Linked DNA regions of Callithrix jacchus. The protein of the gene in region 2 binds, or shares a complex with, the protein of the main gene of each other region. Links are inferred from orthologs where the notes say so. Each region holds a gene or a part of one and is shown on either strand. Other genes may lie near its edges.

Region 1 (4,593 bases), on a different chromosome or scaffold from region 2:
GAAAGATACAAAGGGCATCCAATTTGGAAAGGAAACAGTTAAATTACCATCGTTTGCTGATGATATGATCTTATATTTAGAATAAACTAGACTCGAAGAGAAAACTATTAGACCTGATAAAGTTATTAGAATTGTAGGATACAAAATTAACATACAAAAATTAGTGGCATTTCTATATACCAACGGTGAACAATCTGAAAAAGAAATTTAAAAAATAATCCCATTTACAAGAGCTACATATAAAATTAAATACCTAGGAATTAACCAAAAGAAGTGAAATGTCTCTATAATGAAAAGTAAAATACACTGGCCAGGCGCAGTGGCTCATACCTGTAATCCCAGCACCTTGGGAGTCTGAGGCAGGCAGATCACAAGGTCAGGAGTTTGAGACCAGCCTGGCCAACGTGGTAAAACCCCATCTCTACTAAAAATACAAAGAAATTAGCCAGGTGTGGTGGCACACACCTGTAAGTAATCTTAGCTACTCAGGAAGCTGAGGCAGGAGAATTGCTTGAACCTGGAAGACGGAGGTGGCAGTGAGCTGAGATCATGCCACTGCACTCCAGCCTTGGTGACAAAGTGAGATTCCATCTCAAAAAAAAAAAAAAAAGAAAAGAAAAGTAAAATACACTGAAGAAATTGAAGAGGACACCAAAAAAATGGAAAAAGATTCCATGTTCATGGATTGGAAGAATCAATATTTTAAAAAAATGTTTTTTTTAAAGACAGGGTTTCACCATGTTGGTCAGTCTGGTCTCAAACTCCCGACCTCAGGTGATCCACTCACCTCAGCCTCCCAAAGTGCTGGGATTACAGGCATGGGCCACCACGCCTGGCCTAATACTGTTTTTTTATTTTTATTTTTTTAACTTTTTTTTTTTTTGAGACAGACTTTCTGTTACCCAGGCTGGAGTGCAGTGGCACAATCTGAGCTCACTGCAACCTCCGCCTCCTGGATTCAAGTGATTCACCTGCCTCAGCCTCTTGAGTAGCTAGGATTACAGGTGTGCACCACCAGGCCCTGCTAATTTTTGTATATTTAGTAGAGAAGGGGTTTCACCATGTTGGTCAGGCTGGTCTCGAACTCCTGACCTCGTGATCCACCTGCCTTGGCCTCCCGAAATGCTGGGATTACAGGCATGAGCCACCACGCCCAGCAGAAGAATCAATATTGTTAAAATGTCCATACTACCCAAAGCAATTAGCAGATTCAATGCAATCTCTATTAAAATACCAATGACATTCTTCACAGAAACAGAAAAGGCCATCCTAAAATTTATATGTAACCACGAAAGACCCAGAATAGCCAGAGTTAATCCTAAGCCAAAAGAACAAAACTTGAGGAATCACATTACCCGACTTCAGATTATACTCCATAGTTATAGTAATGAAAACAACACGGTACTGGCATAAAAACAGACACAGACCAATGGAAGAGAATAGAGAACCCAGAAATAAATTCACACACCTATAGCAAACTCATTTTTTGACAAAGTTGCCAAGAACACATAGTGGGGAAATATAGTATCTTCAATAAATGGTGCTGGGAAAACTTCATATCCATATGCAAAAGAATGAAACCAAACCCCTATCTCTTGATGTATAAAAAAGTCAATTTAAAATGGATTAGGGCCAGGCGTGGTGGCTCACACCTGTAATCTCAGCACTTTGGGAGGCCAAGGTGGGCGGATCACTAGAGGTCAGAAATTCGAGACCAGCCTGACCAACATGGTGAAATCCCATCTTTAAAAAGAAAAAAGAAAAAGAATAAATAAATAAATAAAATGGATTAAAGATTTAAATCGAAGACCTCAAACTGTGAAACTACTGCAAGAAAACATTGAGGAAAACTTCCATGACATTGGTCTGGGCAATGACTTCTTGAGCAATATCCAACAAGTACAGACAACCAAAGCAAACATGGGCAAACTTGATTGCATAAAGTTAAAAAGCTTCTGCACAGCAAAGGATACAATCACCGAAGGGAAGAGACAACCCACGGAATGGGAGAAAATATTTGCAAACTACCCCTCTGACCAGGGAATAATAATCAGAATATATACATAAGGAGTTCAAACAACTCTATAGGCAAAAATATAATAATATGATCAAGAAATTGACAAAATATTTGAATAGACATTTCTCAAAAGAAGACACGAATGGCAAATAGGCATATGAAAAGGTACTTAGCATCACTGATCATCAGAGAAATTCAAATTAAAACTACAAGATATCATCTCACCCCAGTTAAAATGACTTATATCCAAAAGACAGGCAATAACAAATGTTGGTGAGGATGTGGACAAAAGGGAATACTTGTACACTGTTGGTGAGAAAGTAAATTAGTATAACCACTATGGAGCACAGTTTCGAGGTTCCTCAGAAAACTAAAATTGAGCTACCATATGATCCAGCAATCCTACTGCTGGGTATATACCCAAAAGAAAGGAAATGAGTTTATCAGAGAGATATCTGCACACCTACGTTTCTTGCAGCAGCGTTTACAACAGCTAAGATTTGGAAGTAACCTAAGTATCCATCAACAGATGTTTGAATAAAGAAACTGTGGTACATATACACAATGGAGTACTATTTGGCCAAAAAAAAAAAAAAATGAGATCCTGTCATTTGCAATAATATGGATGGAACTGGAGATCACTATGTTAAGTGAAATAACGCAGGCCCTGAAAGAGTAACATCACATGTCCTTACTTATTTGTGGGATATAAATATCAGAACAATTGAACTCATGGACACAGAGAATAGAAGGTTACCAGATGCTGGGAAGGATAGTGGGGGATTGGGTAGTAGAAGTGGGGTTGGGTAATGGGTACAAAAAAATAGAATGAGTAAGATCTTCTAGGGCTGGGCGCAGTGGCTCAAGCCTGTAATCCCAGCACTTTGGGAGGCCGAGGAGGGTGGATCACTAGGTCAAGAGATCGAGACCATCCTGGTCAACATGGTGAAACCCCGTCTCTACTAAAAATACAAAAAATTAGCCGGGCGTGGTGGCGCGTGCCTGTAATCCCAGCTACTCAGGAGGCCGAGGCAGAATTGCCTGAACCCAGGAGGCATAGGTTTCTGTGAGCCGAGATCGCGCCATTGCACTCCAGCCTGGGTAACAAGAGTGAAACTCTGTCTCAAAAAAAAAAGAGATCTTCTATTTGACAGTGCAATAGGGCAATAGGGTGACTTTTATGGTTTGGATTTTTTTCCCACCCAAATCTCATCTTGAATTGTAATCCCCATAATCCCCACATATCTGGGGAGAGACTTGGTGGGAGGTGATTGGATGGTGGAAGTGGTTTTCCGTATGCTGTTCTTATGATAGTGAGTGAGTGCTTACGAGATCGGGTAGTTTTATAAGGGGTTCTTCCCACCAGCCCTGTGGTGGTGCATGCCTGTACTCGGGAGGCCGAGGCTGGAGGGTCACTTGAGACTGGGAAGTTGTGGCTACAATGAAACATGATCATGCCACTGCACTCCAGGTTGGGTCGAGTAGTAAGATGCTGTGTCTAAAACCAAAAACAAAGTAAAATCCTTGACTGGCAAAATATTCTCTATCAGCTTTCTTTTTAAAAAATTACATAAGTAAAACATGTATCTTTAGTTATTTATCTCTTTAATCAGATTACCTTCTGTAATAATTCTTTGGGAATTATTCTACAGGAGGGCAGTCATTGACGCCTGTAACCCCAGCACTTTGGGATGCCAAGTCAGGAGGATTGCTTGAGCCCAGGAGTTTGCAACCAGCCTGGTCAACGTAGACCCTGTCTCTACCAAAAAATAAAAATAAAAAACAAAAAACGGGCATGGTGGCGTGTGCCTGTAGTCCACGGTATTTGGGAGGCTGAAGTGGAAGGATCCCTTGAGCCCAGGAAGTCAAGACTGCAGTAAGCCAAGACAGCACCACTGCATTCAAGCCTGGGCAGCAGAGTGAGGCCCTGTCTCAATAAAAACCCACAAAAAACTATGGGGGCATCGTATGGTTGCCAGTGAATAAGGGTTACCAGATAAAAAACAGGACGCGCAATTAAATTCAGCTAAACGAGGACTGTATATTTTTAGTGTAAGTATGTCCAAAATATTGTTGAGGTATACTTACACTAAAACAAGTATTCATTGTTTACCTGAAATTCAAATTAAGTAGGCATCCTATATTTTCATTTGTCAAACCTGGCAATCCTACCAGCACTTTAACATGAAGCTATGAGGTTTGTCTGGATTCATGCTGGTAGGTAAGCACCAATCCATTCAGTTGCCTCAGACGGAACAAAAGCCATTCTCCCTAAAAAAAGAATCTTTTAGTGTGACGGTAGGTAGCAACGAAGCACGGAAGAAACTTGACCCTTTGAGGAACCCGTAACAGACGCAAGTGCCTTAAATGCTACTTTGATTGATTTCCCCGCCCCCTCCATTCTTCTTTTCCTGCAATTGTTCTATCACTTCTTCCCTCTCAAGTCCCGCCCTTTCAGCTACCTCCAACTGCAGAGGAACCGGTTGCTTAAAAGGAGCCGGCAAAAGCGCCTACGTGGAGGCCAGAGGAGCGGAAGTAGTCAGATTTGACTGAGAGCCGTAAAGCGCGGCTGGCTC
Region 2 (5,232 bases):
TCGCACCATTGCTCTCCAGCCTGGGCAACATGAGTGAAACTCTGTCTCAAAAAAAAAGAAGAAGAAGAAGGCTGGGCCTGATGGCTCATGCCTGTAATCCCAGCACTTTGGAAGGCTGAAGCTGGAGGATCACCTGAGGTTGGGAGTTCAAGACCAGCCTGACCAACATGGAGAAACCCTGTCTCTACTAAAAATACAAAATTAGCCAGGTGTGGTGGCACATGCCTGTAATCCCAGCTACCCGGGAGGCTGAGGCAGGAGAATTACTTAAACCCGGGAGGCGGAGGTTGCAGTAAGCCGAGATCGCGCCATTGCACTGGGCAACAAGAGGAAAACTCCGTCTCAAAAAGAAAAAGTCTGCACACATAGAGAATCGTATTGATATACATGCATACATAAGCAATCAGGAATGCAGCGGTGGATTTCCAAATAGCTGGGAAACTAGTCAATATCAACAGAGAATTAATTGCAGCTCCTCTAGATGCAATCATTTGCATTTCTATGAACAAGAACTGTTTGCATTACTATCAGTTTTCTACAACTTTTAAAATTGTAAAATAGGGCCAGATATGGTTGCTCTCACCTATAATCCCAATGTTTTGGGAGGCTGAGGCAGGCAGATCACCTGAGTCAGGAGTTTGATACTAGTCTGGCCAACACAATAAAACTCCATCTCTACTAACTAAAAATACAAAAATTAGCCAGGTGTGGTGGTGCATGACTGTGATCCCAGCTACTCAATAGGCTGAGGCAGAAGAATTGCTTGAACCCAAGAGGTGGTGGAGGTTGCAGTGAATCGAGATGGTGCCACTGCACTCCAGCCTGGGCAACAGAGCAAGCAAGACTCCATCTCAGAAAAAAAAAAATTGGTAAAATAGCTAAAAGACAGTGAAAGATGGAGATGGCACTAAGGGATGTGTTAGGACAGCCAGTACCCTTTTTTGCCCATTTCAAAATCTTTCACAGTGCTTCCTGATGAAAGGGATGCCCTTCTCAGGAACTTCTACCTATGGCTCCTCGACAAGACTGTGCCCTTTTGTTGCAAGGGAAGCTGGGAAATTCAACATCTTCAGCTGGACACACTGTGTCAAGTAAAATGGAATTCTGTTAGTAAGAAAATTGGCCTCACCTACACACCCACTTGATGTGTTAAAGGTGCTAGATTATGTAATAATTTTTAGCATATGTGATTATGAGTCTTCCTGTGTGCACATCTGCTGTTTTTGATATCTTAGCATCACTCTCTTTTCTGGTAATAGTATCTCAATTTTCTTCTGGCACATATCCTATCACCAGTCTCCAAACTCAGGTCCAAGGACGGACACTTGACTCAGGGCTTGATTAGTCAGGATGGTTAATTTAAGAATGGATATAACTCGAGCCAGACTAATCAGATTCAACTTGGATTTTCATTGCACTAAAACTGTAACTTACACTAGAAAATAATAAGACATCTGAAGGATATTTAATCAATCTACTTGGTGCACAAGTAGATCCCTGTATCCTTTGCAGTAATTCCACTGCCTCTCCCAAGAGTCTGTGACCACTGGGATGTTTCCTTTTTCATACATCATTCCTCCTTTTAGTTCCTGAGAGCTGAAAGACTGTGGAGTGTGATAGGAAATGCAAATCTGGGTTTAAATGCCACTTGTGTCAGGTAGAGTCCACCCAGAAAACAGAACCCCATCCCAGTATGCAAAACAAAGAATTTAAGGCAGGGAATTGGTTACACAAGAATGGAACTGTTGAAAAGCTAAACAGGTGGTGAGACAACACAGAGATTAGCAACAGCAGGAAGCCATCACCGCCCCTAGGCTGGAGACTAGATCCCGAGAATGTGCTATGTTTTAGGAGTCCAGGGACTGTGATACTCTAACAATTCAGAGGGAGACCCAGTTACTGCCAGAAATGCAGCTCGAGGGGTGAGGAGGGGTAGATGGCAAGGAGGCCGGCTGGCATGGCTGTCTCCCATTGGCTGATCATAGCTAGAAGCACGGAACAAGGAAGCTTGAAGCAGCAGTCTGCAGAGGTAAGCAACCTTTCCATACAAAGTAGGGCAGGAAAAGCTTGAAGAGTGAAACTGAAGACACTGGTCTATTACGCAAAACTGGTCACCTGTCCATATTTCATCACATCCAAGATGCCATTGTTAGTTAGATGCTCCATAATTTGTGCATTACTATTATTATTATTTTTGAGACGGAGTTTCACTGTTGTTACCCAGGCTGGAGTGCAATGGCGCGATCTCGGCTCACCACAACCTCCGCCTTCTAGGTTCAAGCAATTCTCCTGCCTCAGCCTCCCGAGTAGCTGGGACTACAGGCACGCACCACCATGCCCAGCTAATTTTTGTATTTTTAGTAGAGACGGAATTTCACCTTGTTGACCAGGATGGTCTCGATCTCTTGACCTCGTGATCCATCTGCCTCGGCTTCCCAAAGTGCTGGGATTGTAGGCGTGAGCCACCACGCCTGGCCTTAATTTGAGCATTATTAAGAAAGAGAATTGCTGCCAACTAAAAGAGGACACCATGCTAAGATTCCATTCATTGCAATGCAACAGCAATGAGATGTTGATGGCTGGGCACAGTGGCTCATGCCTGCAATCCCAGCACTTTGGGACACCCAGGCGGATGGATCACCTGAGGTCAGGAGTCTGAGACCAGCCTGACCAACATGGAGAAACCCAGTCTCTACTAAAAATTCAAAATTAGCCAGGTGTAGTGGTGCATGCCTTTAATCCCAGCTTCACGGGAGGTTGAGGCAGGAGAATCACTTGAACTCCAGAGGTGGAGTTTGGGGTGAGCCGAAAGTGTGCCATTGTACTCCATCCTGGGCGACAAGAGCGAAACCCCACCTCAATTAAAAAAAAAAAAGAGAGAGAGAGAGAGAGAGAATGCAATGGTTACTGCCGAGTTTAAAATGAGGAAACTGAGGCCAGTATAAGAACAATTAGATGCCAATTTATTTATCTCCCGGAAGAGGTTCTGTGGTCCCGGGGAAAGGGGCCAGAGAAGTCACGCCTCGGATGCATGGGGTGGGCTGCCACTGAGTAAGGCTCAGCGGGATTTCTTCAATTTTCGCGGGTTCAGCTGTATAGTTTAGTGCTGAGGTTCAAATGCATGGCTTCGTGCTGAGAGTGCATCGTCTAGTGCTGAATATAGACCTGGGGGCAGAATGCAGAAGTGGGCGAGGGGAGCCCGCATGGAGGAGCCAGATGCTGAGTAATGTGTTCTGCCTGATAAACTGTTAGCAGGCATAGAGAGGGGTGGGTGTTGTTCATCCGGCTCTTAGCAAGGCTGGCCTTACAGAGAGAGAGATATTGAAATGTGAAAAATATGCACCTTAAGGTCAATAAAACTATTTGCTGTGTGATCTTAAGCACATGTGAACCTAATTCATGTCCCCCTTTGATTCTTGATTTCAACATCTGGAAATTAGGACAGTTATGCCTACTTCACAGGGTTTTTATTTTGTTTTTGTTTCTTTCTGAGACAAGGTCTCATTCTGTTGTCCAGGCTGGAGTGCAGTGGCACCATCGTAGCTCATTGTAGCCTTGACCTCCTGGGCTCAAGTGATCCTTCCACCTCAGCCTCCTGAGTAGCTTGGTCCACGGGTGTGCACCACCACACTTGGTATTTCTCTTTCTTTCTTCCCTTTCTTTTCTTTCTCTCTCTTTTCCCTCCCTCCCTCCCCCTTCCTTTGTTTTCTGTTTCTGTAGAGTTAGGTTCTCCCTATGTTGCCCAGGCTGGTCTCAGACTTCTGGACTGATACAATCCCACCTTGCCTCCCAAGGTGCTGGGAATACAGACATGAGCCGCTGCACCTGGCCCTTCACAGGGGTTTTGTAAGGATTAAGTCAGTTAATATGTCTAAGATTGTTAACCTTAGTGAGAATAGGAACTTTATCTCTTCGGTTCACTGTAGTATTCCTGGTGCCTAGCACAGTGCCTGGTACATAGTAGGAACCTAAGAAAATTCTGGGAGATGAATTTAGCTGGACTCCTTTCCCCCAAATGAGCACGGTTTCTGGCATATAGTGGGGAGTGGGTGTCAATACATGCAAGCTACTATTATTTTTTATTTTATTTTTATTTATTTATTTTTTTGAGATGGAGTTTCGCTCTTGTTACCCAGGCTGGAGTGCAATGGCGCGATCTCGGCTCACCACAACCTCCGCCTCCTGGGTTCAGGCAATTCTCCTACCTCAGCCTCCTGAGTAGCTGGGATCACAGGCACGTGCCACCGTGCCCAGCTAATTTTTTCTATTTTTAGTAGAAACGGGGTTTCACCATGTTGACCAGGATGGTCTCGATCTGTTGACCTCGGGATCCACCCGCCTTGGCCTCCCAAAGTGCTGGGATTACTGGTGTGAGCCACCGTGCCCGGCCCAGCTCCTATTATTATAATCAAACATTCTTTGGTGGAAACAAGATCTTTTCTTCTGGCCGGGCGCGGTGGCTCAAGCCTGTAATCCCACTTTGGGAGGCGGAGGTGGGTGGATCACGAGGTCAAGAGATCGAGACCATCCTGGTCAACAAGGTGAAACCCCGTCTCTACTAAAAATACAAAAAATTAGCTGGGCACGGTGGCGCATGCGTGTAATCCCAGCTACTCAGGAGGCTGAGGCAGGAGAATTGCCTGAACCCAGGAGGCGGAGGTTGCAGTGAGCCGAGATCGTGCCATTGCACTCCAGCCTGGGTAACAAGCGCGAAACTCCGACTCAGAAAAAAAAAAAAAGATCTTTCCTTCTTTCACTAGGGTAGTGTTGACTCTCCTGCGAGGGCGGATTTCCTCTTTTATTTAAGAAATATGTCGGGAGGAGGCTACATTCATGAATCTCTGGTGGAGAAGATTGTACCACATGGTTTAGTGCACACACAGATAAGTTGTAAACAGAAAATGAAAGTGGTAGTAGCAACAGTGGTGAATGAAGTTGGCAGGGAAGGAGGGAAATAAATAAAATGGATGTGAGTGAAGAATTAAGCAAAATAGAAAAGAACAATTATTTGCCACATCTATAGAGCATTTTTTGGGTCATCATTCCCCTAACCCTCACATCCTGGCAAGTGTTGTAGTGTTATTCTCGTTTCACAAGTGGGACTCAGGCTGAATATGAAGAGATTTTCTCAAGATGAAACAAGACTCACGGTATGTGGTTAACTCTACCAGGCTTCAGTCTCCTGAGAAAGCCCGAGATGGGCTCCAACTTAGAACACATAAAAGGAGAGTC

Evidence for each region.
Region 1: the proteins of DENR (region 2) and MCTS1 are in contact, whole or in part, in a crystal structure (PDB 5ONS), measured with the Homo sapiens proteins. The link is inferred for Callithrix jacchus from reciprocal best matches to the Homo sapiens genes DENR and MCTS1. Residues at the interface, in NP_003668.2 of Homo sapiens: Ala25, Tyr27, Pro28, Leu29, Val31, Tyr33, Cys37, Ser38, Leu39, Pro40, Glu42, Tyr43, Glu45, Tyr46, Met47; in NP_054779.1 of Homo sapiens: Trp39, Gln42, Arg83, His86, Lys87, Tyr88, Pro89, Phe90, Lys99, Ile102, Lys103, Leu106, Ala136, Lys139, Gln140, His141, Ala142, Leu143, Leu170, Asn171, Trp175, Lys178.

The regions. Positions count from the first base shown.
Region 1 is NC_133524.1:116,475,094-116,479,686, forward strand, and holds part of MCTS1 (malignant T-cell-amplified sequence 1), read left to right. Parts: intron 1-3,669; 5' UTR 3,670-3,708; coding exon 3,709-3,893; exon of another isoform or gene 3,894-4,593. UniProt on the Homo sapiens protein: Translation regulator forming a complex with DENR to promote translation reinitiation.
Region 2 is NC_133510.1:125,922,625-125,927,856, forward strand, and holds the start of DENR (density-regulated protein), read left to right. Parts: upstream 1-1,776; 5' UTR 1,777-1,936; coding exon 1,937-2,029; intron 2,030-5,232. UniProt on the Homo sapiens protein: Translation regulator forming a complex with MCTS1 to promote translation reinitiation.